Linked DNA regions of Oreochromis niloticus. The protein of the gene in region 1 purifies or fractionates together with the protein of each later gene. This does not show direct contact. Links are inferred from orthologs where the notes say so. Each region holds a gene or a part of one and is shown on either strand. Other genes may lie near its edges.

Region 1 (15,943 bases):
TGCACTGTTAGCTGATTATTTACCTGCCGCATTAACGGGAGAGGACGTGCAAACGTTACCGCTGCTGCTCGGTTGAGATTCACGAGTACGGAGCGGAATTAAAAACACGACATTCATTTAAGGTTATCGCGTGTTTTGTGAGCAAATGCTTTTGCATATTCGTAGTGTTTCCTCCTTTAAATGAAATATCTACTTTGCAAGTATTGCAAGTTGCCCTGTTGTCATCCGTTCTCGTAAAGTATGACCAAACTTTTGAGCGTTTAAGCCGCTTAGGCGCCCTGCCAGGTAAATGACGCTCCGCAACGTGGTGACGTCATTCGGGGCGACTGGAATCGATAAGGGAATCGTTTGCAAAAATGGCAATTGAAACAGTGGGAACCGGTTCTCAACAAGAACCGGGTTTCGATACCCATCCCTACTTGCTGCTAAGCCGATCATGGAGACCTGTCACATCTCTTTGAAACAACAAAGATGTCATTCATCAGCTCGTGCAGCCAGCTCTTAAACATTTTGTCATTTGATTTGTGAAATAATTGGAAAGAGAAAATTAGTGGGGTTAGGTTAATTTGTTATTATAAATTTCCCTGGCTGTGTATGTGAGTGTGAATGGTTGTTAGTTTCAGTGTGTTAGCCCTGTGACAGACTGGAGATCTGTCCAGGGTGTACCCTGCCTCTGGGATGGGCTCCAGCTCCCACACAACCCTGATATGGATAAGAGGAAGAAAACGGGTGGAGTGGAAAGATGTGTCAAATATATTCTACACTGAGTGTTGGTGAATTCATATATTCACTTAAACTAGGAGGACAGGTGTGGTTTATACTAAACCCACTGTCTAACTTTGCTATCTACTGGAATAACTATTGAACGTTGCATTTGGACTTTCCAGCAAGGGGAATTCTGTATGCAAGAAGGCTTAGGTTATCTTTATATCAATTACAACAAAATGAAACTAAACATTCTCGCTTGTGAGAAGAAGAGAAAACTAAGCAGTAATCGGCCACAAGGGACGCTTGTACTTAAGATTTCTCACTTTAGAATAACAGGCTGTGGTAATACTGGTCTGTATACATGTGCAGGATGTTGTGCAACTGTCGGTTTACAAGCATGTAGTAACCAAATCAGGTGACAAGCAAATCTTGCATTTAAAACAAACAAAGACAGATGAGTTTGCACTGCATTGTGAGCATATTTGTTTCTTTATAAGTGACGGTCTGACTGGTCCTCTACTGTACGTGAATACGTTCTCATCTCTCTGCTTGCAGTGCAGTTTTTGCCGTCATAGCGTGTTCAGCTTTGATGGGAGATGATGTCAGTGCTTCACCCGTTTTTGATGCTTCCTAAAGCTGGGCATACACTGCAATTTTTTTTTATTTATTTTTTTCCCCCAGTCGCGTTATTCAGCTCCTGCTCAAACTGTACGATTGACTTGCAGGGGATAGAAGTTCGTAGGTCACGATGCATGGTCTCACACTATACGGCCAGATGCTCTGATGCGACCTGAGTGCTCACACTGTCCGTCCATAACATGAAGGTTATAACACAAAATCTGTCTCTCGCTCTCCCTCTCTGTCTTTCACTCACACTCTCTCTCTCTCTCTCACACACACACACACACACACACACACACACACACACACACACACACCACCATCAACTTTGCTAAATTGCTAATGAAAACATTGATCAGTCCATCCAACTATTTTCACGGTTGTTGAGGTTGTGATAATTTTGTGAGGCCACATCGAAAAGGCTCAGATGAGCTTGCCAAAGTTCTACAAGTTGTGCTTTCATCTCTGGTGTCCAGATCACACGCTGCACTGCCGTGCCGCTCCGTCTTTTCACGTTCAGTTCTGTGTTTGCGCGTGCGCAGTGTGAGAGGCTGCGTTGACACCCTCACAACGGCCGACAGGATTTCAAAGAAGTTTGATTTTCTTACGACCAAACGATTGATGGTCGTGAGGTGTTAATTGCTTCTCGTTACCCCATGTATACTACACGATGCACGACACACGATTAAGGCGAAACTTGGCCCGATCCCCAAAACGGTCGAACAACTGAAAAATCGTCTCAAAAAGGGCCAAAAATCGCCCAGCGCCCAGCATAAGTGACATATTGGTCTCAATTCAATCCATCCATTCGCTTCCGCTTATCCTTTTCAGGGTCGCGGGGGGCGCTGGAGCCTATCCCAGCTATCATAGGGCGAGAGGCGGGGTACACCCTGGACAGGTCGCCAGTCTGTCGCAGGGCTAACACACAAGGACAGACAACCATTGACACTCACATTCACACCTAGTGACAATTTGGATTATCCAATTAACCTATCCCCACAAGTCTCAATTCAATTCAGTTTTATTTATTTAGCACTAAAAAAGTCTGATTGGGGCTCGTTTCTCACTGGACCAAACTGTGTCCTCTCCTGCAGATGTGGTGTTCTTCATCTACCTTTACCAGCGCTGGATCTATCGAGTCGATCCCAATAGGGTCAATGAGTTTGGTACCAGCGGAGTAGACCACGCCCAGAACACAGCAGCCCCTGCGCAAGATGCCGCCTCCGCTGCAATCACAGACAAACCAGAGGGGGAGAAGAAGAATGATTAATCTTCCTCCCCGGCTCTCACTGCTGGAGTGAAGAGGACTTGTGGAAAGTGGGCATGGAGAGTGGAGTTGTTGTTCAGCTGTCATGGATGCCGCTACCAAAATAAAATGCAGTTCAGCTGTTCCCTCTGGTTTCTTTGTGGATGCACAGAGAGTCATATTCAGTGTAGACTTGGTAAATTCTTATTTCTGCTCCCACCCATCCCTGCCCTCTGTTTCGCAGTTCAACTGAAGTAAAACAAAACGTGATGTACTGTATTCTGTATGATTTGTATGATTTTATATGTATGATTCTTCTTTTTTTTCACTTCAGAGGGTAACGGTGTCTGGAAGTAGATGTTGGGAGGGGAACAGGTCGCAGTTATGCTAATTTTATTATTTTTATACAGAGGAAAAAGAGGCCAAGTGCAGCTTTTGTTCTTTGTGTAGATTCCTTTTCATTCCATGTGAGCACTCTGTTTCGGCTTGGCCGGAAACGGGTGAGTAGTACAGGAAACTGGAAAGATCCTGAGCCACCATGGAGGTTGGTGAAGAAGCGAGGTGGTGACTGGATGACCGTGCAGGACGTTACCCACGAGATGACGACTACTACCCTGAATTTTAAACAAATAGTTAATGTTCTAAACTTGAACATAAAAATAACAGCCTTGTTGGTATTAATATAAATATATTAATATTGTCCAATGACTTAATTTTTGTTTTTCAGTCACTGATGCATTCTTTTGTATTTTCCTCAAACTGTACAGCCTCATGTTAATAATACCGATGTCAAACTGTTTAGCAATAGGTAATTTGCAAATCTCATTTTTATTATTTTTGATACCTTTTAAATATTTGTTTTGGGCTTTAGGACAAGATTTTTGCATGACACTTCATTTTGCACATTAATTTCTATTGCTGTTACAGAAAATACAGTTTGTGCTAACATCGCAACAACACTACTGAACTCTTTCATCTTTGTGTTAGGAGTTGAGTCCAATTTTCAGCCAGTAACTCTTTGTGTCTGTGCTGTCCAAGAACAGCCATCATAACATCCAGAACTCAAGGTCACAGATTGGAGTTGAGGACACACAAGTAGAGCTGGGTGTCGTCACTGATTTTTATAACTGATTTGATTGAGATTTACAAGGTCTTGATTAGATTTGATTGAACTTTGACTCAGACAGTGAGTGCTGAGGATAAAACACAGGAAAACATGAGATTTTCCTGGCCTGGCTTTTATAGCAGATAACCCCCTTAAAAATATTCTACAATAGATTAAAAACTAAAAAAAAAAAGCATTAATAAACATATGAACATTGCCTGATGCTGCTGCAGTAAAGCAGAGCACAGCCACAGAGGTTTTATTAGAGACGCTTTGTAATTTGGAGTTTGAATTTCTTTGGTATTGAACAGCAAAAATGAGATTTTCTTGTCAGAGGTCATTTTTAAAAAACAAAAAACCAAACAGCGGGTGACAGCACTGTACACATGGTAGACTGATGCGTAATAAGCAAGCAAATAATGCAGAAAATAGAGATTTTTGATGGTAAACTGGTCCTGAAGTACACTGAGAGAGAGAGAGAGCTGTACAGGAAGAGCAATTTTATGGTGGTGGAAGCAAAACCAAGAGTAAGAGAATCTGTGACAATGTTTTTAAACGTGAAGCATGTTTCACGTTTGACCCTTCGTCTACGAGTCATTGGGTGAATGGGGATGATCTGTGCTTTGTGTGTACATCTTTGTGCGAAATCTGCTTACCTGCTATTTAATCATTTGCTGTTTTAGCTGTTTGCCGGAAATAGTTTCATGAGCTTTAACCAGAGATTCTGGTGTTTTTTGGCAAAATACATGTATATTTCAAAATTGATTCAGGCTTTAATTCATCGATATTGCATTATTCAAGCTAAAATCAATTTGAATCAGGAAATCGATTTTTATAAACCCACCCCTAGAAAGAAAGTCTTGAGCTGCCCTTCATTTCTTCACACATTTGTTTCTCCTCAACTTTTTTCAGTTTCCTTAGATTTGTAGATTTGGCTAAAGAAATGAAACTAATTGTGTTTTTGTGACAGGCTGCTAGTAACAATGTGCACAAAGACACAATTTGAAACTGGTTGTTTGCTAAGCTGTTATGTGTAGACACAGCACTGGTTCATCCTTGAGTTAGTTTATGCTTACTAGAGTAGGTCATTGGTCAGGTATGGTCAAGGACTGGGCTAAAAATAAATGTAAAAGCAGCCAATGTCCAAAGAAAACTTTGAAAGACCTTCAGAAAACCTAAACGACTGTTGCTCAAGAGATTAAAAAAAAAAAAAATTACAAGAAAGTCTGGCTCTTTGGAAGCAAAATGTATAGAAATGAGATGTGGCTCAAGTTTTTTGATTAGAAGTTTAAAAAAAATATTATGATTCAAGAGGGGGAAACCTTAAAGTGATAAACATATAATTATAAAATAGTGCTAATTATAGACTGTTCTATATTGAGTCATTAGTTGCTGTGGGTTGATATTTTGGAGTCTAGCCTCACGGGGGTGGCCAGTACACTGAAAATAAAAAAGGGAAGTCTTAAAATTATGCGACAAGAATACTTCAGAGGGAAACTAGGTGTAGAAAGGCTAACAGATTAACAGTAAAAAAGGGTACCAAATCATTTGCATAGTTTAAAGACTTAATAGTTCTGTGGATTTAGGCTTTCGGTTTCCATATAATCCAAGACCACCTCTGTGACATGTAAAACTGAGGTCATGTTTGGCACATGAGAACTGAAGCAGGTCACAATAACTGCTGCACAAAATATTGGATACAGTAAAACAAATTTACACTAACAAAAGAGACACTCCAAACCTTTCTTTTAACCCTCAGCTAACCTTTTTTTTTTTTTCTAACATCATCTGACCATTTAAATTAGATTCCTGTCAGTTTGGCAGGTGTATGATGTTAGTGTAACCAGTTTCTGCTTCCCCCTCTATAACAGGCCGGCCAAAATTAACTCCTTGACTCTGCGTTTTGTTGTATTTTTAAAGAAGACAAGGAGTCTCTGGTTTGTCTTGATGCATGCTCAGTCATCCAGGTAAGCAAATCGCAGAAGTTTGATTCTTTTCATCTGGACGTTTTCAGTGGGAGAAAAGTTGCGTCACTCATCAAAGTGGCTTCTTCAGTCTCAGCTGACTGCAGGTTTCCCCAATCTTATAAATAGTACATTTGCATAATAACTGAAACCAGCCGACTGAATGAACAATGGGCTGGGATGTCAGTTTTTTGATCATTAGTATGCAAATTGTGATGTTCATTGCTCAACAAACACTGATCAAAGACCACTGATCAATGGCCATGAGTACCATTCACAGAGAGTTGGGGAATGGCTCCATTGTAAGATGATTCATAGATGTTTTTTCCCTTTTCACGTAAATGGCCTCCTTGACTCCACGCTCAAACCAGCGTTCCTCCCTGTCCAGGATGTGTACATCCTCATCATTGAAAGAGTGTCCCTGGCCTGTAGGTGTAAATAGACTGCAGAGTCCTGGCCTGACGAGGTGGCTCTTCTGTGTTGTGCCATCCGTTTCACCAGAGGTTGTTTGGTTTCACCGATGTATAAATCCTGGCAATCCTCCTGGCACTTAACAGCGTACACTATATTACTTGTGTCGGGGGACCCGATCCTTGGGGTGGAACAATTTTTGGCACAGCATGTTTTGGGGTTTGAAAGCCACAGAGACGCTGTGTTTAGAAAAATGCGTCTCAACTGTTCCGATACTCCTGACACATACGGGATCACTACAGGTTTTCGCTTAGGCAGCAGTTGTCCTTCTCTCCTGGATGAACTGGAGCTTTCTTTAGGTGACTTCCCAGCTTTGACAAATGTCCAGCTAGGATAACCACATTTACTCAGGGCCTTCTTGATGTGATGTTCTTCTGCTTCCCTGGCTGCTGTGTCTATGGGGATGGTGTTCGTTCTATGTTGTGGCGTCCTGATGACACCCAGTTTGTGCACCACTGGATGCATATTAATGATCAAGGACCTGACCTCACAACTCACTGTTCATTCAGTGGGCTAGTTTCAGTTATTGTGCAAATGTACTGTTTATAAGGTTGGGGAAACTTGCAGTCAGCAGGGGTCATTAGCTCCCCGGTCAGTGTTTTGGAAAGCCGTAGATGCAGAAGTAGTTATGCCAGAGTTTGTGCGCTACTGCCTTAGCAGACTGATTAGGGCTGATTAGAAAGGCCTGAGCCATCTTTGGAAAGTGGTTTATGACCACAAACACATCCACTGATTTGTTTGCTGAATCCTCCCAAAATACTTTAGCGCCGTTCCTTGTTGGCCCTGGTGACCTGCTTCATCATGGGCACCTTTCAGTACAGCAGGATGCACGGTTGGCGGAACAACATACAGGTAGGTCTTAGAGACTCGATACAGTAAACTATTTCTTACGGTCAACTTGTCCCAAGCCTTTAGGAGTCTCCTTGTATCGGTCGCTTCTTTGGCCCACTCTCTCCTTGATGGTCTCTGCCCCCTTTCCACATAGAGGATCACTCTGCACAGCACATCATCATGTGTCTCACTAGGTCATCTTGTAAAAAGGATTCAGAGTCAGACCAGTTCGGTGTAAGCACAGTTTGAGAGAGGCAGGAGAAGAGCATGTGGCCACACTCTTGACTTGTGTTTACTATGGCCCTGGAGGACAGCTCCCACCTCAGCCTATGCAACAGCTGTGTTTATCAGATTTTTATTAGTCAGTTCTTCAGCATTCAGGGTCTTACTGTGGTCCTCTCCTAAATCTCCCTCTTCCCTCTGGTGATTAACCAGATGCATTATAAGGTTGCTGCCCAGAATAAGGTCCTCACTCTGCCCTGCAACCACCATCATTGGCAGAACAACTTTACACCCATACACCTCAATGGTAATGTCCCACACACCTGTTGGAACTGTCCTTGAACCACCACAACCAATCAGGACGACATCAGTGGGTTGGAAGGTCGAGGTCTCCAACGCTACAGGACGTAAAAATTGGGGCATTACATTGATGCTGAGGATGCAGGCCATGGAGCCACCGTCAAGCATCGCTTTAGCTGACAGTTCGCCACCTAGGGTGACGTTTTCATTGAGCAGTTCATCATTCTGTTTTAGTCTGTGTGTGTTCTGAAATATGGGTCATATTGGGACTCACCTACTGTCGCTAAAAACTAAAAGGCAGTGGCTGCACTAAGCTGAGAGGCACACTTCTGATCTTTGCCATGCTCCAGCAACTTCTCGTACACATCAGCAACTGTCCACCGCTGCAAGGACTTGCACTTGAAAATAGGAGACAGTTCTGAGTCCGGGGAGTGACGGTTAAACATAGCAGTCAGCTCTTTTGTCAGATATGCAAAGGACTTAATTTGTCTTTTAAGGCAGTCTTCTGTCACCTCCATAGCGCTGTTCAACCTGAGCCAGTAATCAACAGGCTTTTCACCTAAGTTGGATAATGTTGCATAAAAATCTGCTAAAGGCATGCTTGAACCGGCAGTGTTAATGAAGTGCTGCTTTTAGATCTCAAAAATGGGCTCTGGGCCCCCCTCATGACATACAGATGGCTTACTACGTATGCCCACCCTGATTATCTCTCATACCCTCCCTGCAAGTTTACTTGGCACTTCATCAGCTTGTTCTGCTACTGGTATCCCTTTTCTTTTTAAAAAGGCCATCATCATTTTCCCCATTCCCAAACACTGCATGTGTCACAGCCATCCCCTCTAAAACACACAGGTTCTTTGACATCAGATTTTGCAACCACATTCAGTACTGAGGGCTCTGAGAGCAAAGACCCAACAACAGTGTTTCCCAGTCCATAGCACAAGCAAAACTAAAAGAAACTGTCCCTCTCCCCCCTACCAAAAGTGGGAAAATCTGTCATGCTTTAGCAGATTTTTGTTGTTGTTTTGATTATCGAAAACAGTACATTTAAAGGGGGAAAGAAAATAGTTGACTCTGAGTTCAAAATGTGAAAGAAAACATCTCAAATGGAATATACAGCAAAACCTCAAACACACACTACCTCCCAAAAAATACAAGAGCACAGCTAAATAGACCTTAATAAAAATGCATAGCAAAGGACCACTACATTGAATCACTGCAGAGTAGTAAACAGCTCTTTTGTTGAAGATAAAACGTGTTTATCCCCCCCCCCCCTTCTTTTTCTCCTTCCCAAAGTGTAGGAGCCATTTTTGGGTTAATACCTTATGTTGCCGCTAGAGGTCACCTTTTTTAGTTTCTGTATGGTAGGTTTATGTCAACAGTTTGTGACCGCTGCGCTGTTATGTTAAAATGATATTGGAATAAAGACCAAAAGGACAAGATAAGTACTGCTGGAGTTATTGGACTGTTTAATTAATTCATGCATACCAGTGACATCACGTCACCCCCGTTAACAAACACCTCTGAGGCTTCAAGCATAGGCGTAGCCTCTACACAAAGAGAAAGTACACAATCCCACCTCAATGTCCGAAAGAAAACAGAAAATGGCGGGACTAAGAGAAACCAGTCTCCCGCGGTTTTCCGCACAGTCCACCTTCCAGGAAATAGACAGGCCATTGTATATTTATTTCCTCTCATGTAGCTTTAACAAACTGGCAGTGATTACATACTTACATACTTATTACATATACTTTTTACAGTCATTGTGCACCAGGAGGGAGGGCGCTGTTTCCCCATTGCACTGACATTTGAGGCAAGTGGAAACACTGTTAGGAACACACCAGTGACAGGTGTAGGTGATGCTTGGTGTCATGAAACACTGATGGTCTACTTTTGACTCAAGTAAAGACATGTGGCCTCCAGTAAATGCTGTGTGCCCATAAAGTTTTAGCTTTTTAAAATAAATATATATATATATATATATATATATATATATATATATATATGTATATATATATATTTATTAAATTTTGTGGATATTCTTCTGTTGCCTTCAAAAGGAGGACTGAGGACTCGCAGATCATCCTCTGGTTGCAGAGCTCAGGCTGAAGCGTGTCGGTCATGCCTGCAGCTAGGTTGCAGCTGGCTTGCTTAATTTTTGTTTTTTAATCTGCTCCCTGCTGAGTCACTGCTTCCCCTAAAAGGCCCCGCTTTCGATTTCCATTTCCTTTAAATCGTCTGTCTTCTGGGCGACCAGCAGGTGTCGCTGCTGCGCTTCGTAATTTTTCAGCAGTTTGTCAAGAGTTTTTAAGTTGAGACGAGAAGAGGCGCCGTTTCTAATGGGAGGGGTTTTTTGTTTTTGTCTTTTTGAAATTGTAACTTTTACTTTGCACTTATGAAATTCCCACTTCTCCCTGATTGGAGGAACCGGGAGAAGCGTGATAAAGACATGATGTAACCAGGAGAAATGCCTCAGAGGGCGTGTGGCTGAGAAAGAGCTGGCTTTTTGACTTCTTTGTGCTAAAAATAGGTGCATGAGCTCTGGGATAGAGGCTCATTTGAATAGTTAAAAACTGATTTGCATATGCACTGAAGCCGATATGAAAACAAGACGAGCCGCCGATACGTGCGATCAGTTTACATACATAATAAGCGGGGAAATCGGCTTTTAAGGGTAAAGGACCTATTCTGGCCTCATTATGATGCATTATGCAAATCAATAAAGCGGCAAGGGTTTGATTAAAAGCTCGGTTCGCGCTGTCGCGGGGGGGGTTTTCCCGTCTGTGAGGTGACGTTACGCGCAGAGGGGGATTTCCACGCGGTCCAGCAGCCAATCAGCGCGAAGCTTGTCCGAAACACAAAAGCGGAGATGACTTCGTGTAAGATATTTCGACACATGGCTTCGAGACGGTTTGACACTTTCCCCGGGATCAGACAGAAGCTGTGAGCCGCTGTGCAGTCTAACAGGTGGTTTAAGGAGCTGTTTCAGAGTTCAGGACGAAGGTTTGGGCCGAGACGGAAAAAGACCCAGAGTCATCCGGTTTGGAGACGACTCAAGGAAGGATTCAAGGACACGACGGTGGAGTTTAAGGTCCTAAAGGTGGTCTTAAAGACTGGACGCATGCCATGATAGACATGGACATGGTCAACGGTACCTCTGGTGGGTGGTTGTCTTTTGTAAACCTGTTGAATCTTTGCGTGTGTTTGTGCGTAAAAGCGCTGACATCATCCTGAGGCATGTGATTTTTCACAGCAGAGGAGACAACACCCCTTCCCGGGATTGACCCGCAGGACGACAATTGTTCGAGCCTCGACTCTCTAGATTTCGGTGAGTGGTGGGTCTTTTTTGTTTTGTTTTATTTTGTTTTGTTTTGGCTCTGCGTGCATGTGCCGGAAGCAGGGAGGAATTACGGTGACCTGAGATGACCTCTGGCAGGAGGCGTAAACCATCATCAGAGTTCCTGCTTGTTTAATCTTAGGTTGTCTTATTTCCGATGTCAGAAAGGGAGAACTCAACATTTGGGACATTAAATTAAACATGAAAAAAGTCACAACAGCTGATTTCTCTTATTTAACATTGAAAACTGTGCTGCAGATGCTAGCTTTGTTTAATGCTTCATGCTTTCTGACAAAGTGTCAGACATGACAGACCACAACCACTGGTCCCCAAAGACAGGTATATTTACCTGCAGGTAACCACTGCTCTAGATTCACTTTCACTGGTTAAACTGAGGCTGACTACAGGGCAGGAGGCCTGTTTTTTTATTGGTGCAGTGCTGAAACAACGTGCCACAGATTCATGCACCAGTGACAAAAACAAAACAGAGGAAACGGTTCATGTGAGGTGGTAACCACTCAGATTCTGACACACTGTGTCTTGTGACACGTTGCCACGTCTTAAAATAGATTGCAGTAATATACTACTAGGTTTGGAAGATGTTAATGGAAGTGTTTCTGCTTTCTAATCCAAAAACATAAAGAAACAGAGTAGCTGCTGCCCTAAACCAGTGTCAGATTTTTACAACATTTGCACTTTCACTTTGGATTCACCATCAGTTTGTATTCATTCACACAGACCTGATTCAAGAATATATCGCAGAAAGTGAGCAGGTAGCACCCACCCCATCTGGACTACCTGGACCACCTCCTCCACCTACTGGCCTCCCCTGCCCCACAAACCAAACCCCACCAAACCCCATCCACAAACCAACGCAGATATCCAAGCCGGTGCTGGTTGCAAGAGGCACCTTGTCTAAGGTGGGTGTTTTGCTTTTGGGGTTTTTTTTGTTTTTTTTAGGTGGTGTCACGCAGGGTGTTGATTTTTCTGGTTTCCTGCTCTTTTTGCAGTTTCGTACGTTACCCAGAAAGACTGCTGGCAACACCCAAGGGTGCCAAGCAGAGAGGTGTTTGTATCAGCTGTGGGCTGTGAAAGTTGCCAGTCTGGGGTGAATAGGGGCATACTTTTTACAGATCCTGGCAAAATTTGTGCTCATTACTTCAATACAGGGTCTATTTAACTAGATCAAGTCATAATTAATATACCTGATACTTAATTTGTATAAAAACCAGAGAAATAAATGTCAGTACATGCACCTATTTTGTAAATATTCAATCACTTTGGCTGATATGACTGTATAACAGGTAGGAAACTGGAGTCTAGGCTGTCTGGAGAAAGGTTATGACTAATAAACAATGATAACAATAATGATGGTATTCTTATTTTTAGCCTTTTCTTATCTTAGCTGGGCAACATAAACATTAAAACAGTTAATGGATTCAGCTAAAACTTAAAACATTTTATTTATGAGAAGAAACTGTTAAAAATGTATCTGCTTGTGGCTCCTCTGAATGGTTTTTTTTTTTAGGTTTTCTTCTTATCATTTGTTTGTGCAAAGCACTCACACAGATGGGCAGGTTGTTGTGCTCTTCCCTCGGTTTATTATTAGCAACAGTAGTTTTATTTCCCATATTGTCTTTGTGCTATTATTGAAAGGCGGTTGATATAAAACACGTTCAGAGGAAGCGTCTGTTCCTCCTCGGGGGTGGCTGCAGCTCTCATAATGAGGCTGTTGTGAGGATTGAATGTTGGTGGTATGAAGTGCTGCATGATTCATGTGCAGCCTGCAGACGGTTGGCTTTTTTGCTGTGTGGCACAGTGCAGCCGTTAGGCAACTTGGCAGGTCCGGCTTCTACCAGAAAGCACGTGGTTTACAGGCAGCGGGAAGCTCAGAAAGGCTGTAATCTGATGAGGCACTGTAGTGGCCGCACAGATGGGTAATAATGAAGGGTGCTGGAAGTTTAGCCTTCTCTTAGTGAATGAGCTGCACAGGTTATGTTGCTGGGTTTGAAGAGGTTTTGCAGCTTGTGAGAGAGTGTGGCACACCTCTTTGTGCTTTTTTTGTTGTTGTTATAGAGGAGGTGGGCTTGGGGAGTGGGGAGGACATTTTGGAAGAGCTGTAATCTGACTCCTGCTTTCAATTTGCCATCCTTTCTGTTTACAAGCCAAACCCACCGGAGGCGAAAGGTTGCATTTTTCACCCCCGTGTCAGTGCTGTGATTGGCTGAAGGGTGTAAGGCTGAGCTGACTTCCTATTTCCGTTTGCTGGCTCGGTGTAGCAGGCTTTTGTTGAAAGGTCCAGTCCTTTTTTTTTTCTTTTCTTTTTTTGGGGAGGGGGCTAACACGATTGCAGGGGTGCATACAAACACTTTGACCAAAGACGTCTGGGGATCGACAGGATATTATGAAACATGATCTCATGCAGAGGTATCACCCACATCTCTGCAGCGATGGTTTAATGATTCACAGCAACACGTCTGACAAAGGAGGCGACTTCTTTACTACTTTTCTTACCTGCAGGTTTGATCATTATCATTCTTATCATCTGTTTTTTTTTAGATTAGCTACAACAGATAGACTGCAGTGAGTCAGGTGAAACTTGATTTGTGATAACTTTGGGTTCACGGTGATGTAAGAGAAAGCAATCAGGCGCCTCGATGGGCAGAAACAAATGAGCGAGGATGGAGGAAGAGCACTGCAGAGAAAGAGAGAGAAACTAAAAGCAGCAAAGACAAAAAAGAGATGTGAAGTCTTGAGTGGGAGCGGAAAAAGCTCGGTGGTCTGCGGTGTAACGGAAAAAATAAGACATCATATGCAAGAGGAGGCGTCGCAGAGCACGAGGTTAACTCTGCTCACTGATAGAAAGCACATGTATGGACAGAAAACAAAAAGAAACACACGCCATGAGTCAGTTCTTTCACTGCATGCTTCATCTGTAGTGTCATCACTGCTCAGGAGACATGAGGTTGTTTTTCTTCATTAAAACTACGAAGATATCGAGGGGGGAAAAAGCTCTTTCAGCAGTAAAACCGCAAAACTGTGTAACATCATTAGACTGTTAATACAGACACACTGGTGTGTAAAAAGTACCATTGTAGTATTTTAGCTTGTCAAGGTGGAGCTACTTTCAGCTGCTTTATATAGAGTGACTTAGTTTAACATATTCTCTCATTATATTTTTTTAAATAGTGAAATACTGAAACATCACACTTGTTTTTAAATTAGATAACCTAGAAGTTTGGAAGGGAAACATTTTATTAAAAGGATTTTATGAAGTTGTGCTTTGAAAGTGAGTGAATCATTGCTTCGAAACTGTGGATATTCTTAAAGGTTGTGACTGGTTGCAAATGTCCGTGTATTTGACTTGGTGACTTCATCTCCTTTACGCATCGAGATGGAAATCTGGTGAGTGAATTATGACTGTCAGCTCAGGTTTTTACTCCTCAGCCGTAAAAGGCTGATCATGTATTGTCGTCACCTCACCGAGGCCGATGACGTGGGCACCTAAGTTTGCGATAACTTAAGGACAAGATGACGTAGGATTTTGTAATTGATACCACAGGTGCATCTGCTGTGAGTCTGACGGGTAGCAGTTACCAGTACTTTTATTTTATTGCAGAAGTTCAGTTTTTCTTCTTGGAAGAGTGTTGAGAAAGGTCAATAGTTGATGATCGGAAATCTAAAGACATAGTTCAACTGGAGAGACGTTTCGTGCTGTCAGCAAACTGACTCACTGCATTTGGACATCCAAAGCAAGAAAACTTCTGAGTGTAAATTAAGTTTTCGTGAGAAATATGAAGTCGAGTCATGTGATTTTTAACTTTCCTGCTAAAACAGATCAAATAGGAAAAAACACTGTGGGGGCGTGAGGTAAGACCAGAGCAGAAATAAAAAGCACAGAGATCACAAACATGATGAAGAAATGGTTAAAACATAAAATAAACCAGTGGGGAAAAAAGTATTGTTTCTTCTTTCAGATGTTTTGTGGATTTGCTTTGAAGCCTTTCTAGTACAGAAATTATCTTTACTCATTAGATCAGGTTATAAAAGACTCATCTGATGTGCATCACCAGCCTTTAGGGACAGTCGTGAGGCTTGGTTGGTTGTTGTCTGCATCTTTTTATGCTGCCTTTTCTGCCAGAAGTTTCTAGTGCAAGGTAAATATGTTTAAGTCAATTGCTTAAAATTGCTTTTTCTTGTCCCCCCCCATCAGCCAGTCCTCCCTGTCATGGATATGGCATCGACTCATCCTTCCTCTGGGCGAGGGTCCTCGTGTTTGCTGAACCCGAAGAACTCCAGCATCCCGTCCTCTCAGAACCGGGGCGACACGGACATTCTGGAGCGTGTTCTGGACAAGCCCAAGCTCGTGATAGTGGAAGAGCCCAAAGACAGAGGCATGAGGTTTCGCTATGAATGTGAAGGACGCTCGGCGGGCAGCATCCTGGGGGCATCCAGCACCCACAGTGAAAAGACCCTGCCTACAATAGAGGTAGAAGTTTTCATTTCAGAAGGGGAGTTTACAAGATCTCAGAGGCAGTTAGGCACTTTTAACCACAGCTGATCCTGTTTACTCTGTTCACTTGACCCCTCCTGTCTGAAATGGGTGGAGACAGAAAAAAATGTGGTTTGTCTGAATCAATTAGAAAGTCCCCACAAATCCCAGCTCAAGTGCAGTTAGATACAAGGAGGTATATCCCCGAGCTGCTTACTAAAGAAACACTCCCACACACATCTACACACCACGATCATTCACACTTTGACTTGCTGGTTACCAGGTTATATAAAGTTTAGTCAAGGAAATGTCCGGTTGCGTAATGGATATTAATAGAATTGAACAATGGTGTTAATGTGTCATTATTTTTGGATGAAACTGGCAACTGAGAGGACTTGGTTTTGTTTTTATTTTAATGCACCAGGAAATCTGTATTGACCTTCTAGAAACTATTGTTAAAAGTCTGACAGGTGCCCCAGATAAATGTCTGCGGGGGAAACAGACCCAAAAAAGCCTGGAGCAACAGGTAGAGAAGGTTAATCGGCTTTTATTTCAACTTTTTTCAAGCCAAGTTTCTCAGATGTCAGGGTTATCTGCTTTAGTCTGGCATATTACAACAGCTTTGGTCTGTCGGTCAGGGAAAAAA
Region 2 (15,745 bases), on another chromosome or scaffold:
GCAACTCAGCTCAAAACTTCACGCCAACCAACGACCTTCCAGAGATCTGGATGTCATCAAAAGGAAATAGAGCCAGAATCTGAAAGACAAGAACAAGAAGCAGGTCAAACTTTACTGATCCTTAAATCATGATTAGAAAAAATACCAGAGAACAGCACTTAAACAAGCGCTGCTGTACAGATGACTTATCCCGTATCCAAATGTCTTTCTAGGAAACCCAGAACTAAGCAGAGAATTTAGAGCACAAGAGGTCAAAATTGAAACCATGAATAGTGTTTGTCTGTGAGCTTCATACAAACTGGAGTAAAATAAATGAAAACAAATGAACCAAATCCACTTCTGCTGTGACTACTCTGCTTTTTAAAAGAGCACCAGGTCCCCTGCTTGTATGCTTTGGTAGGTTATTCTGAACTGGTAGCTTAGTGATGTTCAGGGTAAACCCAGCCTGACATGATGTCGACGTCAAAACTGTGTAGGGGCTATAACATCTGTTGCAGATGGGATGGCCCCACTAAATGTTTGTTTTAAAAATGTGCGTCCTTACTTGATGGGGGTCGTTGAGTGCCCCAGACTTTTAAACCACTTAAAGAGTAAGTGAAGAATGAGTTCAGTCAGGCAGTAGGAGGAGGCTTGACAGATTAGGTATAATAAACCAAACAGTGTGCAGTTGAGTTAGTGCACAGTTACCACTGAAAGTCTGCAAAACATACATATTGCTGGTTTTGTTTTGTGTTTTTTTTGTTTTTAAACAGGATTTAATGGGTGAAAAATAAAAGACAGTCTTATCCTTTAAAATATGCACAGCAGTGCATTTCAACCCTTAATATTTGCTTACATCATCATTGCCGTCAGCCAGATCCAACGCCGTCTCGTCCTCCATGTTTCGCAGCATTTTGTCGGCGCCATTCTGACAGAGGATGGTGGCGATGGTGGCGTCCTGTCTCCCCACCGCAAGATGCAGGGGTGTGCAGCCATTAAACATTGCAGCGTCCACATTGGCTCGGCTGCCGAGCAGCAGCTTCACAGATGTGATGTCATGCAGCTCCACGGCGAGGTGAAGAGGCGTTTTGCCGCTGGTTCCTTCCTACGAGGGGAGCGGACGGAGAAAAGCGATGAGAAATTCCACAAAAAAGGGCAGAAATTAATTCTGCAATGTAAACAGTTTCACAGTTTTCTTTTTGCAATTCTAGAAATCAGTAAGAAAAAAGGTCAAAGTAAATTCAAATTAGAATAATAAATAATTCAATACATGGGATGTGAGGCAGACTGATATGTTAGGCCAGTGATTTAAACTAAGAGGAATGTCTGGGGTGGTTTCGGGACTGCCATGTTCCCTACCATCAATAGAAAGTTAAGAGCGGCCGGCCAGTCTGACCTAATCATATCTCAAATCTAATTATGTCTCACGGAATCCTGCAGGAAGCCCCGAGCTCAGCTCATATCACTATCAGCATTGCACAGGTGCAGCTGATTTATCATAGGAACACAACATAAGGTCCCAATGTGGTAAACACAGTTTAAACAGGATGTACGTGATTATAAATGCAGACATATGACTGGATTAAACAAGTACGGAAAGCCCTATTAGGGGAAAAAAAATAAATAAAGATTGCAGCTTTGCTTCCACAAAAACAAACTCTTCATCCAGTCCTTCAACCTTTTCCTTTTCAGTGTTATGAGTGGAAGTCTGCACTGTTTGTGATCATTTCAGGCTGAATTACACGAGTGCAAAAAAAAAGCTTTCTGTTTAGTGTGAATTCCGCCTTTATGCAAAACCTAATTATACAAATACAGCTCATATGATGGGGGGGGGATCCACAGACTAACCTGTATATTCAGATCTGCACCCTTTTTGATCAGAAGCTTCATAATTTCATGTTGCCTGTTCAGTGCAGCCAAGTGAAGACAGCCAAGACCTGAAAGTACAAATGTTGGCTGAAATCTGCAATGTGGAGCTCATTTTTAGGTCAAACAGTTTTTACAAACTTCAAGCAGAAAATAGACCAACACTGTATTGATACAACACAAAACATGTTCTACATCAGTGCTAAATGTGGGTGTTATTTCTTCTGCTACTGTCCAAGGAAATCCTCATGTGTCTTTTAGGAGGACATCAGGGAAAGACAAGCTAGTTAAATATTTCTTCGACATTAAAATGTAAAAAAACCCCTTTTGACTTTAATGCATAAAAACTCGCATAAACAGATTTAGTAGCAGCCATGACGGTTTTCCCCTCACCTCTCCAGTTCTGGGTCTCGAGGACCGGAGCCAACTTGCTGGGAGAAAAATCTTTGGTCATCTCGGTTGCGCACTCTAACTGTCCGTGCTGGCAGGCCACGTGGAGCGCCGTGTTCCCGTCCTGGTCCTGCAGCTCTATGCTGACCTGTTTCTCCATCAGACTCTGCACCACCTCGCTCAGGTTTAGGTAGGTGGCGAGGTGCAAAGGGCTCTGAGGAACAAAACAAAAACTTTACCTGCGTGTCTCTGGTTAAAATAAACAAAAACACGTCAGAAGTTCATATTTAAGTTGAGATGTTAAATAATCTACTAAAATGTAGAGTTGATATTAAGCAAAGACACAAAAAAATTACTAGCTGTCCATTGATTCATCAAACATACTGACAATAACAGGTTGATGGTGGTCTTATATATTTCTTCAGCTGTTGTCCTTATACCCTGTCACTTCTCCTTCACAGCTGCAGCTTCCCTGCATTTCCAAGAATGCTCTTATCCTCATTTCTAACTCCTCATTATTATTTTTGGACTCTAATAGAGTAGCTTAGCATGAATGATGGTTCTGAGCGTTAGAGTAATCCAAAGCTTCACTAAAATTTCGGCTCATTGAGATTACGGACCTCATTATACCAAACTTTTGGCATGTTTAATGTGAGCACCCACTACTAAAGTGGTATAAATATGAGAGGAAATAGGTAAAAGTATAATAGTTCCCTTTGAAAATCCCCAGAGCGCAGGCCTGTACCTGCTGCATTCAGGTACAAGTGAGGAAAAGAGAAAACCCTTTCCGAGAAAGTGAGTTTTATCTTTAATCCACAACAAGTGATGCGGTTACTCTACACTGTGGTTTACTGAGACTGCTGTAGGTGTACAGTATGATAGTGCTGTCTCCTTTTTAAAAAAAAAAAAAAAAAAAAAGAAGATGTGTTTTGCAGTTTTTTTGTTATCAAAATTTTACCACGAGACTTTGCACTCACAGGACCAAATGTTGAAACATGGCAAAAATCTCTAATCCATTTGTTTTACTTTTCCTTCAGAAATAAAGATGCATTTTTATTTTAAACCCCCTGGGTTGCAAACAAATTTTTTCTTGGTAATGTGTCCAAATGTGAAATCTTAGAATGACTACTAAGAGGAAATTAGGAAACCAAAAAGAGCCCAGCACAGAGCTAACTGAGTCACTACATGAAGTGCTGAGTCTCAACTTCACATGTTTCCTTTTGACAGTTCTGCAAGTTCAAGTTAAGTCTCTGGTCGGACTTCTTGAAGGACTGGAACAACTCCTCCACCCACATCCACACAAGGATACACTCCACAGCTCCCTGTGGTTCTATTTCTACATGAAGTAGAGGAGGGGAGTTTCCATTCAAAGTCCCTTATGAGTTAACACTGGAACCACCCACAGTGACGTCCCCGAGTGAGGACGGACTGCAAATAAAGAGGAACAAGAGTTCTCTGGAAGTACAGAGATATAAATAAAGCCACCGCTTCCACAATCAAGGTGCAGATGAGGAAGTATTTGTGGATTAGAAAATTCCAGCAGAAGCAACTTGTAGGACCTGTTGCACCTACCTGATATAAATTATTTTGGATGTCCAGGACTTCTCTTGGGAATATCTGTATCAAGTCCTTAGCAAGTGATGATATTTCGTGGATAATTGCTAAGTGCAGGATTCTACGGGAGTGAGAAAGAAAAAGAGAAGATGAACTTTAACTGTTATGCCTGAAAAAATCTGTAGCCCTACTTTATCTCAAATTGAGCAACTTACCCCCCTCCAAAAAAAAAAAAAAAAAAAAAAAAGCAGCGCTGTTAATTTCAACAAATGTTGCCTAACAATTTTCCTCGGTATTCATTTCAAGAGACTACCTCGAAATGTAACACTTAGTGGGCTGAATGGCAAGACTGAGTCGTTGGGGTATTGAGCAATACAAAAAATTCTAGACAGCACAGCAAGGTGCTGGTGGTTTAAAAAAAATCTAACATCTGTGAGCAGATATAATCACACAGGCCTCAGTTTAAATGCTTACAGCAAAAGACAAAACAAAACAAAAAGCACGCCACCCAAAAAAAAAAAAAAAACAGAGTGGGAAGTTCTAGCAAACAAATGTGTGCGCAAAGCAGGAAATGGAACTGAGCATTAGTGCTTAATTTAGACTCAACAGCAACACAGCGAGGGCCCCATCTGGAAAAGGGATCTTAACAGATTAAAATCAAAGTTTGAGGCTTAAAGTTCTTTAAAATCGCTGCTGAGTCCAAATTCTGTGGACATCAGGTTTTATCTTACAGGCTTGAAGCGTTGATGTTTTACTGCTGCACGATTCGCCGCAGCGGTTACTTCTCTGTTAGTTTAGCAGCGAGACGTTCTGCTTTCAGAGTAAATGTCATTTAACCCAACGCTGGACGCCGCGGGCTGCTTCAGACGCAGACAGAGTGGGATCAAAAGTTCCCACGACGTCTCGCTGCACACTCAGCTGTGAACACTTACAGTGCCACATGTCTAATTATACAAAGTAGTAAACAACATGGCATTTATCGATTTGTTAAATGGTAAATGTGGTTACTTCTTTCAAAAGACCCACACCAAAGGGGGGGGGGAAAGAATTCAGTTTTATTTAGTCACAAATTTAAAATATCAGTGTTTCAAAAACTAATGTGTAGCGGTAGCAATAATACAGCTGCTTTTTTAAAGTGATCAGTTATTGAAATCTATAAGGATTAATCATGCAACTGAACATTTTGTTTGCAGCTACTGACACCGAGAAACAAAGAAAAAAAAAGATAAAGTACCTGCATAAGGTTTATTTTAAAAAGGTGACAATATTTTACGCTTATTTTTGTCACAAAACAAGGAAAAAAAGCATTTCTTGTAGTTACTGCCATAAATACAATAAATGTATTACTACTTTACTATTATCAACACTGATTAAGCATATAAGTTGGCTTTTTTTCCACTGAATTAAACACCTTTGGGCTGTTTGAGAAGAAGCAATGAGGAAACAGACGTGGGGCATTTCTTACTGTGAGTAAATTAGGAAGGTTGCAGGTGACAAAGTGTATGGTTCCTTGTGCATTTCTAGGAATTTAAAATTCCCAAAAACTGTAGAGAAAATGAAAATAAATGTAAAAATACAAAGCTGTTGGTGAGTGTTAATCCATCGCTCGAGTACCCCAGTAATGGTTAAGATGAGAGGATACTGCACGGAGAAGCCACATTACATATTTGTGATGCTTAAATGTCAGCTACGTCTGCAGACTGATGGAGCTGCGCTGACATAAACCTGTCAGCAAATGTCTTTGTGTGAAAGGGACTTCCTGGTTTGAGTAAGACTTGAATGAATAAGAACTTAAAAAAAAAAAAAAATCCCACAGGGGAAAATTGGTGTTTGCATGATTCTGTCAGTCGAAGCAATGCACTGTGGTGTGTTTCAGGTGTTTTTTTTTTCCCTCCACCAGGTATCTATAGTTAGGGTGTGAGAATGAAACCATGTGGCCCCAACAATCAGCAAGCGGAAATGAAAAGAGGTCAGAGACACAACAACACTTGTGCAGTGTGATGTGACTACATCAGGATCACACCGGCTGGTCGTGGCTGCAGGATTCATTAAATCGGTCTGCTGGTTGATGACGCTGCAACTCTAGATGAGTGGGTCACATAAGAAACAAGAAGGTCTGCATGGGCTGATAAGGTTGTGTGTGTGTGTGTGTGTGTGTGTGTGTGTGTGTGTGGAGGTTGAGGTGTTTAGATTGTGTGCAAAAGTTTCACTGACTCAAATTGAGAAATGAAGTGCAGCGAAAAGCCGCTCAGTCACAAATGATTTTTTTTTAGCTGTCTGGAAGAAGGAAGAGGTAAGAAAGTAAAAAAAAAAAAAAAAGCAAGGGGGGAAAAAAGAAGCCTGTGAATGGAGGGAATGAAAACATGCGTACACACTGTCCTGTCCTGATCAACAAGTTTCTTGGATCAAAAGCGGGCCACACAGCTACCTCACAGCATGTGCTTTGTCTGTGCTGCATGGGGGAAGTCCAGACCTATCTGTTTCACTTCTGTTTTCTGACTGAGAGTCGACAACTCAATGGAGACCGGTCACATTTGCGACAAGGACAAAGTTCATTATAAAAGTTTGCAGTATCACACTCTCATGAAATCCCCTTTAAAACCTGTATCGCCATGGGAAAAACTGTGCCTGAAATTTAATGTGATTTACAGACTTCAGCTGCAGTAGAATTGCCATTCATGGGGATTTTAAGTTCATCAGCAGACTTAAAAAAAAAAAAGAAAAAAAAAAAAAAGAAGTGAGAAGCTACTACCCTGCTCAAATTTAAACCAGCAACTATTCTGATAACCTTTAAATTATTCGGTGCAATATTTGGAGCAAATATACAAAAAAATCTCTAATTACAGGTCACCAATTATAAAAAAATATACTTTTTTTTCTTGTTTTAAATCATTTTGAATCGTACATTTTCTAATAAATCCCCACCACTACATATCAGGCAGTGATCCAATTAAAACTAATGTAGTGCCATTAATGTACAAATCACTAGATAATGGAAATGATAATAATAAAGCGCTTGTGCAAACTCATTGTAGGATATTGCCAACCATATCAACTAAGGATAAACATCACGGGTGCCAAAAAAGCTGGTGAAACAGTTAAAATGCAAAAAGGTTTGTATTCACCCACCAGTGTGCAGCAGCATCCCTTTCAGCAAATATTCTAGCAAGCTGAGCAAGACTTTTTCATTTTTGATGGAAATTAAATGAATAACAATTAAAAACCTACGTGTCTCCATCCTCTGTAATAGTTGTAAGCAAGTTCTCCTCCTGCTCCTGCTCAGAGAGTTCAGAGCTCTGTACTTGCTGGTTGCTGCTGGAAATCGTGCAGCCCCCCACTATATCCGACAGGCTCTCTACCGTGAGAGACGAGGAACCGTAGGCTGAGTCCAGCCATTCCTCTCCGCCGGAGAACTTGTCCCTCGGCCCGCTGAGGTCAGTGCTCGGCCCCCGGGGCTCCTCCGACTTCACCATGGAGCGGTACGACTCAATGCCTGAGTCTGTGCGGTTATCCTCCGGCAAGTGTTCTTTAGTACAGTCATGGCTCGCCATGGTAGTGCTGCTGTGGTGATGGTGGTGATGATGATGGTGGCCTCGCTGGGTTTCCCCCTCCCGCCTTCCCCGAGGATTTAAAGGCTTCCTGCGGGCGCTGTAGCCGCTCGGTGCTCGGTGATGTGACCGGACAGCCCGGTGACACCTGTGATAGCCGCCGCACCGTCTTCGTGAAACCAGAGGAACGAGCCGCTGCGTATCATGCCATTAACCGACAAGACTGTGCCCTCTGTGTAGGAAGAGCCGTTCACTTTTTACCGATTTAACGCGTTTTAAAAAGTTTCGAAAACATGGCAGATCACTCACGAGTCGGTGAAACGGGTTTAAAACGAGTCAAACAAGACACAAACGACTGCCCGTCGACTAAATATCCGGTAAATGCGTGAGCTCCAGGCGGAGAGCATATGAGCAATGAAAGGCGAGAAGGGGAAGAGCTGACATGTGAAAGGCAAAGCTGTTTTTGTCACGCGGGGGAATCCCCAGTGGCGTGACCGAGCGCACACACACAGTACGTTCACTCGCGAACACGCGCGCGCAGAAACGCCGGAGAGTCGGGTGTGAGAGCGGAATTACTTTGTGATTTTCAAAATAAAAGCACACACTCTAACGCTATATACATATCACCCACTGATGACTTTCCATTTCGTGTCTTCTCATTTTTTGTGCCTAAGTTAATTTATTAATATAATATAGCCACAAATCACAACAGCAGTCTCCTCATGGTGCTTTATAGAGTAAGGTAAAGACCCTGCAATAATACAGGGTAAACCCCAAAATAAAAACAATCCCCTTGGGCAAGCACTTGATGACATTGGGAATTAAAAAACTCCCCTTTAAAAGGAAAGAAACAGGCTCATGGAGGGACAGTCATCTGCAGCCATCTTTTGAGAGTGAGGGGAGGAAGACAGAACAAAAGACATACTATGGAAGAGCGTCAGAGATTAATAATAACAAATGATTAAATGCAAAGTGGTGTGTGAGTACATAATGAGTGAAAAAGATGAGTGAAGAAGAAATACTTAGTGTATGGGAAGCCCCCAGCAGCATAACTAAGGGGGGATTCAGGGTCACCTGATCCAAAAGTAGAGAGAGTGTCTGTCTCCTGAATCCAAACTGGGAGCTGGTTCCACAGAAGTGTAGCCTGAAACCCGACGGCTCTGCCTCTCATTCTACTTTTAAATATCCTTGGAACCACAATTAAACCTGCAGTCTGAGAGCAAAGTGCTCTATTAGGATGACATGGTAAAAGTGAACATAGTTCGCAGGCTTCTAACTAACTCTTACGGGAATTTATTTTCAGGGGCATGTCCAGAGGGGGGCATAGGGTGACATCTGCCCCCCCCCAAAAAAAATATGACTGCTTGTTAGTCTTACAGTGCTAAACATAGATAAGACCTGTTTTTTAATGTAACTTAATATATTTACTCAAGTATTTTAATGACATTTTAATGTATTTGCACTTCATTTAGATATTTCTGTTATGGTATTTCAACTTCATTATATTTTTGGTTGCTATATATACTATATAATGTACTTTTAAATCTCTACTTATTTTTTGCAAATTTTAAAATATTAATCTAATATTTATATATTAAGTTGTCAATTAATAAACAATCATGACACCTACAATCACGAGGTCTGGGTAGTAACTGAAAGAATGAGATTGCGGAAGAAGTTCAGTAATTTGGGAGGGATTTGGTGATTAAAGTGATAAACACATTAATAAATCAATGAGTAAACGACTAAAAACTATTATTTTAAAAAATGATAATGATTCTGAAAGGACGATTCTGTATAATCTTCATTTTCCATTAAGTGCACTTTGATGCCACGATGCACAGTCACAGTGGAAAAACCCCAACAGCCAAGGGGATAAGGAGGAGTACAATCAGCAGCTTTTCCCACACCCTCTCCTTTTTCCCCATCGGTCTTTATCTAAAAGCAAAGTTGAACTATTACACTCCAGCTTCCCTCAAATGACTTCAGTCATCATTCACTTCTGACTGTCGGCAGTGTCAGGAGAATCCCCGCTCATGGGTTTTTGCAAAGTTGAAACACCTTTAAGGCAGATTTGTGTCTATTCACATCGTCCAGTGCAAATTTCACTTTGTGGCTAACATGAATACATCTTTAGGCTAAGAAATATGAAATATGATATTCGCTTACACAAAGAGTCTTTCATGTAATATCATTTATATTAGGGCATAGAGCTACACCAGCCTCAAATTGTATTTACTTCTGATCAAATATTCTGATTTCCAGCCTCCCGTCTTCCACCCAACCTGCCCTGTTATTCTTCTATCCTGTTCCACCCTATTAACAATTCCTGGAAACACCCCTGTTTCTTTCATACCAACATTCAACGAGGTTTAGGCCAACAAACGCACAAAATAAGAAATATACGAAATGCTTAATAACAATACCTCCCCCACGCTATGAAATCAACCTTGTCTAGTGTGCTAATAAAAAAACAGTAAATATATAATCAAATAAATTAACTGTGTTGGTTTGCATTTCCAATTTTTGATGTTTAAGTCTCAGTTGTTCTGAGAACCTTAGTCTTCACTGTGTACCACAGCTGCAGGGCTACTGAAAGCAGCAACATCACATACAATAACCAAATAAATGAAACATTAAAATCAAAATACCAAACAACTTGTTTATGTGATTATTCCCTGCTTGAGTTGTGTGATTATTACTGCCTCTGAATGATGCATGAGCCCATGCACACTTTCTTAAACAGCATTAAATGAACTGCTTTAGCAAAACAAATACTCAACTGTCAATAAAACCATCAAGTATGCAAAATCTGACCACAGAACTAAAACTTGCTAACACAATGACATGTTCCTTTAAGCCCTTTTGGAGCATATGCAGGCCTCACATCTTCATAACTTGTAATCCTGGTGACACCCTGTGCAATACGATTTACCACAGAGGCTACAAATACTTTGGAAGGTATGCTTGTCTGTACATGGACTAATTATATCACCACAATAGCATCTGTGCAAGATGCACTCATCAAACTTCACGTGTGCAGTAGATATCAAAATAAAGTTTGACACGGGTGTCATCTGACCCATGGAAAGGAAGGAAGTTCTACTATTTTTGTTTGAAAGGCGCCATATGAAGTAACCTTCATTTGGTGTGCATTTACAAGATCAACACGATGATAATTTGTGTTTATTTATGCTTTTTTATAAATAAACCCGTTGGCCTATTCAGTAGGTGTGATAAAAGAGCTTATCAGTCTGAGTCTGTCTGCGTCAAAACAATCCCTCAGAACTGTGCAAGGTGCACTCATGAAACCTTATTGATGTGTATTTGGTATCAAAACAGCGGGGGAGTTCAAAGGTGAGCGTGGTTCAGAGCACAATCACAGTAAAGTGTGATAATCTAAGTATGGGATCTAAGTCTGACTTAGATAGAAGTATCAAATCTCATTAATGTACTCATTCAGAACACAACAAGCATCCCACTGTGATACTCCGTTCAAAACATGTGGCTTTTATTTTTAAAGTCCACAGCGGAAGTCTCGGTTTTCAGGCTTGTCACTGGTAGCAACAACAAACCACAAGCACATCATTATTCATTGAGCTTTAGTCCTTTTTCTAAGAAGCTGCAAAACCAGAGCTTGGTTTATATAAATCTCATTTTGCTGTATTTAAAAGTGAGGAGACATTAAACATGAGCAGCTACTGGTATGTGCTGAGGGGTCCTGTTTGTAGCAGCAGCAGCAGCTCACAGTGTCAGTCTGTAGATGTTTTGCATGCTTTTGTGACTGATGCAGTCAAATAAACAGAAGAAAATATTCAGAACTTTCCTTTTTTATCATCTGTATTTTTACTTTTACTTTTTTAAGACGCTTCCTGTGGTCTGGCCTTTAGAGGGCTCACTTACACAGCTGCTGCTCTACTTTAAGGGGAGGGGGGTAGGTCCATGATAAAAACAGTCTACAACATAAAACAATGCTGACTGTTAGAGGGAAGCATTTAGTGCTGTTAAGAGTTACCATCTGTTTTCCTCTACTGTTGTGTTTACTTTTTCCACTTTACGCCAGGAGTCCAGTCCAATGTCCATACTGTGCTCTGTGATAAACACAGGTCGGTGTTCCAGGATCATACAGGAACGTGTTCTTGTTTAAATAGGTCTGTGCACAACAAAAGCAAGGATAAATATTCAGTTTTATCTGCTTGGTCTTCTTATGGTCTCTTCTTTCACAAAAAACAATGAAATTATGACAAACGCTTTGGGGCAATTCTGTCTTTTTGCCCTCTTCTCCTTATTCACAGCATTAAGTAAACCATATCTCAGCTTAAACTTGAACTTTTGTACTCTTTTTCTTTTTGTCTGAAAGCTATATTTGGTGGAGTCATGAGATTAATTTGCTAAGAATTCAAAATACAACTTTATTGTAGAATCATCACATGTTCTTTAGGAAGTTTATTTGAAATGAAAAGTGGAATCATCCAATCACATGGCAGCAACTCAGTGCATTTAGGCATGCTGACATTGTCAAGATGACCAGCTGAAATTCAAACTGAGTATCAGAATGGGGAAGAAGGATGAATTAAGTGACCTTGAAAATGGTATGTTCATTAGTGCCAGATGCGCTGGTGTGAGTATTTCGGAAACTGCTGGGATTTTCCCATGCAACTATCTCTATGATTTACAGAAGAAAATGAGAAAATATGCTTTGAGCAGCAGTTCACTGGGTGAAACTGCCTTGTTGATGTCAAAGGTCAGAGGAGAATGGGGAGACTGCTTTGAGTTGACAGGAAGGCAAAAGTAACTCAAATAATCACTCATTACAACCAAAGTATGCAGAAGAGCTTCTCTGAATCCACAGGACATAGAACCTCGAAGCAGATGGGCTGCAGCAGCACAAGACCACACCGGATGCCCACTCTTGTCAGCTTAGAACAGGAAACTGAGAGTACAATTCACACAGGCTGAACAAAACCGGACAACAGAAGACTGGAAAACTTTGGCTGCTTTGATGAGTCTCGATTTCTGCTGCGACACTTGGATGACAAGGTCAGAATTTGACATAAACAACATGAAAGCATGGATCTATCCTGCCTTGCATAAAGAGTTCAGGCTGCTAATGGCGTGGGACACTTTGGGACACTTGAGCGTCACTTAAACACCACAGCCTGTAGCCGATCGTGTCCATCCCTTTATGACTACAGTGAAATCATTTTCTAATGGCTGCTTCCTGTAGGATAAAAGCTATTAAAGTCTGACCGAAGTGTCTAACTAAAACACTTTTCATCGCAAACGCTGTCTCATGTTTCATCTTGTACAGCATGTCTTCAAACTGTGGCCGTGTCCAGGGTGGAAGAGAGGGACCCAAATGCAGCACACATAGGAAGACTAAAAAAAAGGAGAGACATTTATTGACCCATATAAAGGCCAAATGGATAGATCCAGGGAATATCCAATATACACAAACAATACATAACAAAAACCCACAGAAATAAAACAGCTGCAAAAAAAGGAAACGTGACCTGGGAATTATATTTGAATTATATTATCTGATGATTAGGCCCCTACTCATAAGATGTGGTTAGCTTTTGGGAAGTCCCATTTAACAAACGGTTATCTTGTCTATTATGTTGGAATTTGTATTTTGATTGATTTGTGAATAAACTAAACTAAACTAAACCCTTTGACAAAAAGAAACAAAGACATTTACAAACAAGCCAAAAGATCATACCATCTGAGGAGCATCACAGGTGACTTATTTAATTTCATATATATAACGGATTTAAACCCTACGTGAGCTTTTACTATTACTGTTTTTCAAAGCACTTGCTTAAATACAGATCAGAATAAAGATCTCTGCTGAGGGGAGCCACCCCCTCCTCAGCAGCGGCAGCAGCAGCGCCCCTCTGTGCTGTTGTGAGTTACGTGGACACGTACGTGCGTGTTATTTACATCGTGGTGTCGGGCTGGCTGCTCGCATGTGCCGCTGCCCGTCTCCTTTGTCCTGCTTCACAGCTTCACTGGGTGTCATGGGCACTGCCTGCAGGGAGACGAGCTTTGTCACTTCCCTCATCACACTGGATCCCTCGCCGCTGCAGTCCTCATCACCATCACCATTGCATCGCGAGAAGAGTCACAGCCTCTCAGTCTTCTTCGGAGGCACAATGACCGCGTTCCCGTAGGCTACACTATGCGAAGTGTGCCCACCTGAAACAGGCTGGGGATGCAGCATCCTTTGAGCCTTTCTGTTTGGGTTCCTGCTGCACTGGTTTCTTGCGGATGATGCGCGGAGGAGTTCGCGGCGTGTTTATGTCTCACTCTGCTTTGGAAAGCCCCCATCCCATCAGGAGATCCATGCACCACCGATCTTTGTGTTGTTGTTATTACCATGTCCCCAGCATCGGCTGCAACGGCAAGTGAAAGCGCCACCGCCACCACCACCGTCCCCGAGGAGGAGACGGAAAGCCCCCGGGAAGAGGTAAGAATTGTTTGCAGTAAATTAAGGCTTTTGAGTAGTGTGGCATGTGTAAGTGACAGGCTGCCTCTGTGCATGCTCACTGTAATAATCTCACTGTAATAATCATTTGGCTTTTTTTTTTTTAGATTATGATTTAAGTGTTTGCACAGCACTTAAAGCGCTCTATTTGCCTATTATACGAACCCATGCGCGCACTCGAGCGTGTGAACGCCATGATTACGCTCCTGTTTTGTGTGTCCTCCAGGCAGGCTTCCTAAATTAGGTTTAAGAATCTATCACGGTACAATCAGGTACACGAAAGTGTTAAAACAAAAACTTATTTTGCTCATATCTTTCCAGAAGATATTGAAAGTCACGCAGCATTTAAAAGACATGTTGACGTTACTAGGGCGGGGAGAAGTGAAATGTTGTATTAGGGGGGGAAAAATGTCTGTAAATTTCCCTTAAGGGAAAAACTAAAACAGATTTGGAAACATAAGGACTCAACAGCAGTTTTCCTGAATTAAACTATAGCACCCAATTCCTCTCCTTCTTCTCCAGTCTTCCCCTACATGCACACATGCTGGGCAAGTTACATATCCATTACACAAGAGAGTCTTTTTATATAACCTAGCTGGTCTTATTATGTCAAGAGAAAGTGTCCATGACTGCGAGAGGCACTAAAGGCACCACAGCAGCCTCCTGAATGTGAAGACTGTACAGATTTGAACCTTCTTGAAACTGTTTTTCCTTTTAACCATAGCAACTTTCATATTAAAGTGTATGACTCCTATGAGTGCAAACTGTAAAATTACATTAGGATGTAAGCACATAAGGTGGTGTGTTGAAGTGATTCTCAGTTGTTGCTTTCATGGAAAGGGAATTTTCACTAAATACAAAACAACACTGAAACCAAATGTTAAAAAATGATACAAGAGCCTTCAGCTAACTGTACACAACTGTACACAGAAGACTTTTAGAGCTGTTTCATACAATAACTGCCTTAAATATAAATGTAACTCAGTACAATTAAAAAATTGATTCTCCTTTCATATTTTAGGACCAGCGCAAGGTTTTTCTAACACATTTTTAATCAGATTGTAACATGCAGGGATGCATTTGCTTTGCAGGCCCATAATCAGAATGATATCTCATGCTGTACGACTGTTCATCATTAACCTCGAGCCTGTAAAATGTAACACTAGCCACAAAGTGTGCCACGTAGTATTGATTGTAATTTTCGAACATGGCCAGAATGCTGGTGAGCGAGCACTCCTCCTGCAGGAGGTTTATCTCAGTGGGGAATTTCACTGTTAATCCCTTTTGCTCTGTGGGGTGTAGCCTTGGGTTGGCAGTGTACTTGAGGACCATGTGACCAAGGTCGGGAAGTTAATTATGATGCAAGAACATCGATTATTTATGCTCGTCTGTCACTCGAAGAGCACAGAGCTGACATGTCGAGTTCAATAAATCAACGCTGTGATAGAGCAGATGCTTTTTTTTAAATGTTGTGTTTAGAGTTGACCTATAGATCAAAATCTAGACATTTACAGTCTAATCTGAAGTGTTTGATGTCCTGCCCCAGCACAAGGTCTGTTATGCAAATTTTTTTTGAATGAATTTAGTTATAATCTTCCCCTTCCTGGGACTTTTGAATCTCTGCCAGGTTTTGTGTGGCTGTGCTCCTGCAGGGCGTAACCAGCTCTCGAGCTCTTTGATGCAGCCGCTGGGGCTTGCTGTGCCCCGAGGAGATAAAGGATGGCACCATCTAAATGCTGCCCAAGTCAGACTACAGCCTTTTTTTCTGCCTGGCCTGTCTGCCTAAATGTTTTTGACTGTTCAAAATCATATCAGTTCTTTCAAGCCTTCAACTCTCACATGACAACAAGATTTCTTTTGCATTTTAATGGTAATAATGAAGGAATTGTCTGATTATAACAAGCACAGAGCAAGAAATGAG

Evidence for each region.
Region 2: the proteins of relb (region 1) and nfkbie purify together in Homo sapiens (affinity purification with mass spectrometry; 3 studies listed by BioGRID and IntAct, counting the BioPlex papers as one, with this or other methods). This does not show direct contact. The link is inferred for Oreochromis niloticus from reciprocal best matches to the Homo sapiens genes RELB and NFKBIE.

Annotation. Positions count from the first base shown.
Region 1 is NC_031979.2:23,747,713-23,763,655, forward strand, and holds the start of relb (transcription factor RelB), read left to right. Parts: upstream 1-9,819; 5' UTR 9,820-10,594; coding exon 10,595-10,628; intron 10,629-10,721; coding exon 10,722-10,796; intron 10,797-11,543; coding exon 11,544-11,725; intron 11,726-13,046; exon of another isoform or gene 13,047-13,325; intron 13,326-15,018; coding exon 15,019-15,294; intron 15,295-15,943.
Region 2 is NC_031980.2:14,162,989-14,178,733, reverse strand, and holds the start of nfkbie (NF-kappa-B inhibitor epsilon), read right to left. Parts: upstream 7,877-15,745; 5' UTR 7,341-7,876; coding exon 7,018-7,340; intron 3,911-7,017; coding exon 3,808-3,910; intron 2,450-3,807; coding exon 2,239-2,449; intron 1,917-2,238; coding exon 1,828-1,916; intron 1,085-1,827; coding exon 836-1,084; intron 80-835; coding exon 11-79; 3' UTR 1-10. Other genes in the region: tmem151ba (transmembrane protein 151B), read left to right, coding at 13,717-13,806. UniProt on the Homo sapiens protein: Sequesters NF-kappa-B transcription factor complexes in the cytoplasm, thereby inhibiting their activity. Sequestered complexes include NFKB1-RELA (p50-p65) and NFKB1-REL (p50-c-Rel) complexes.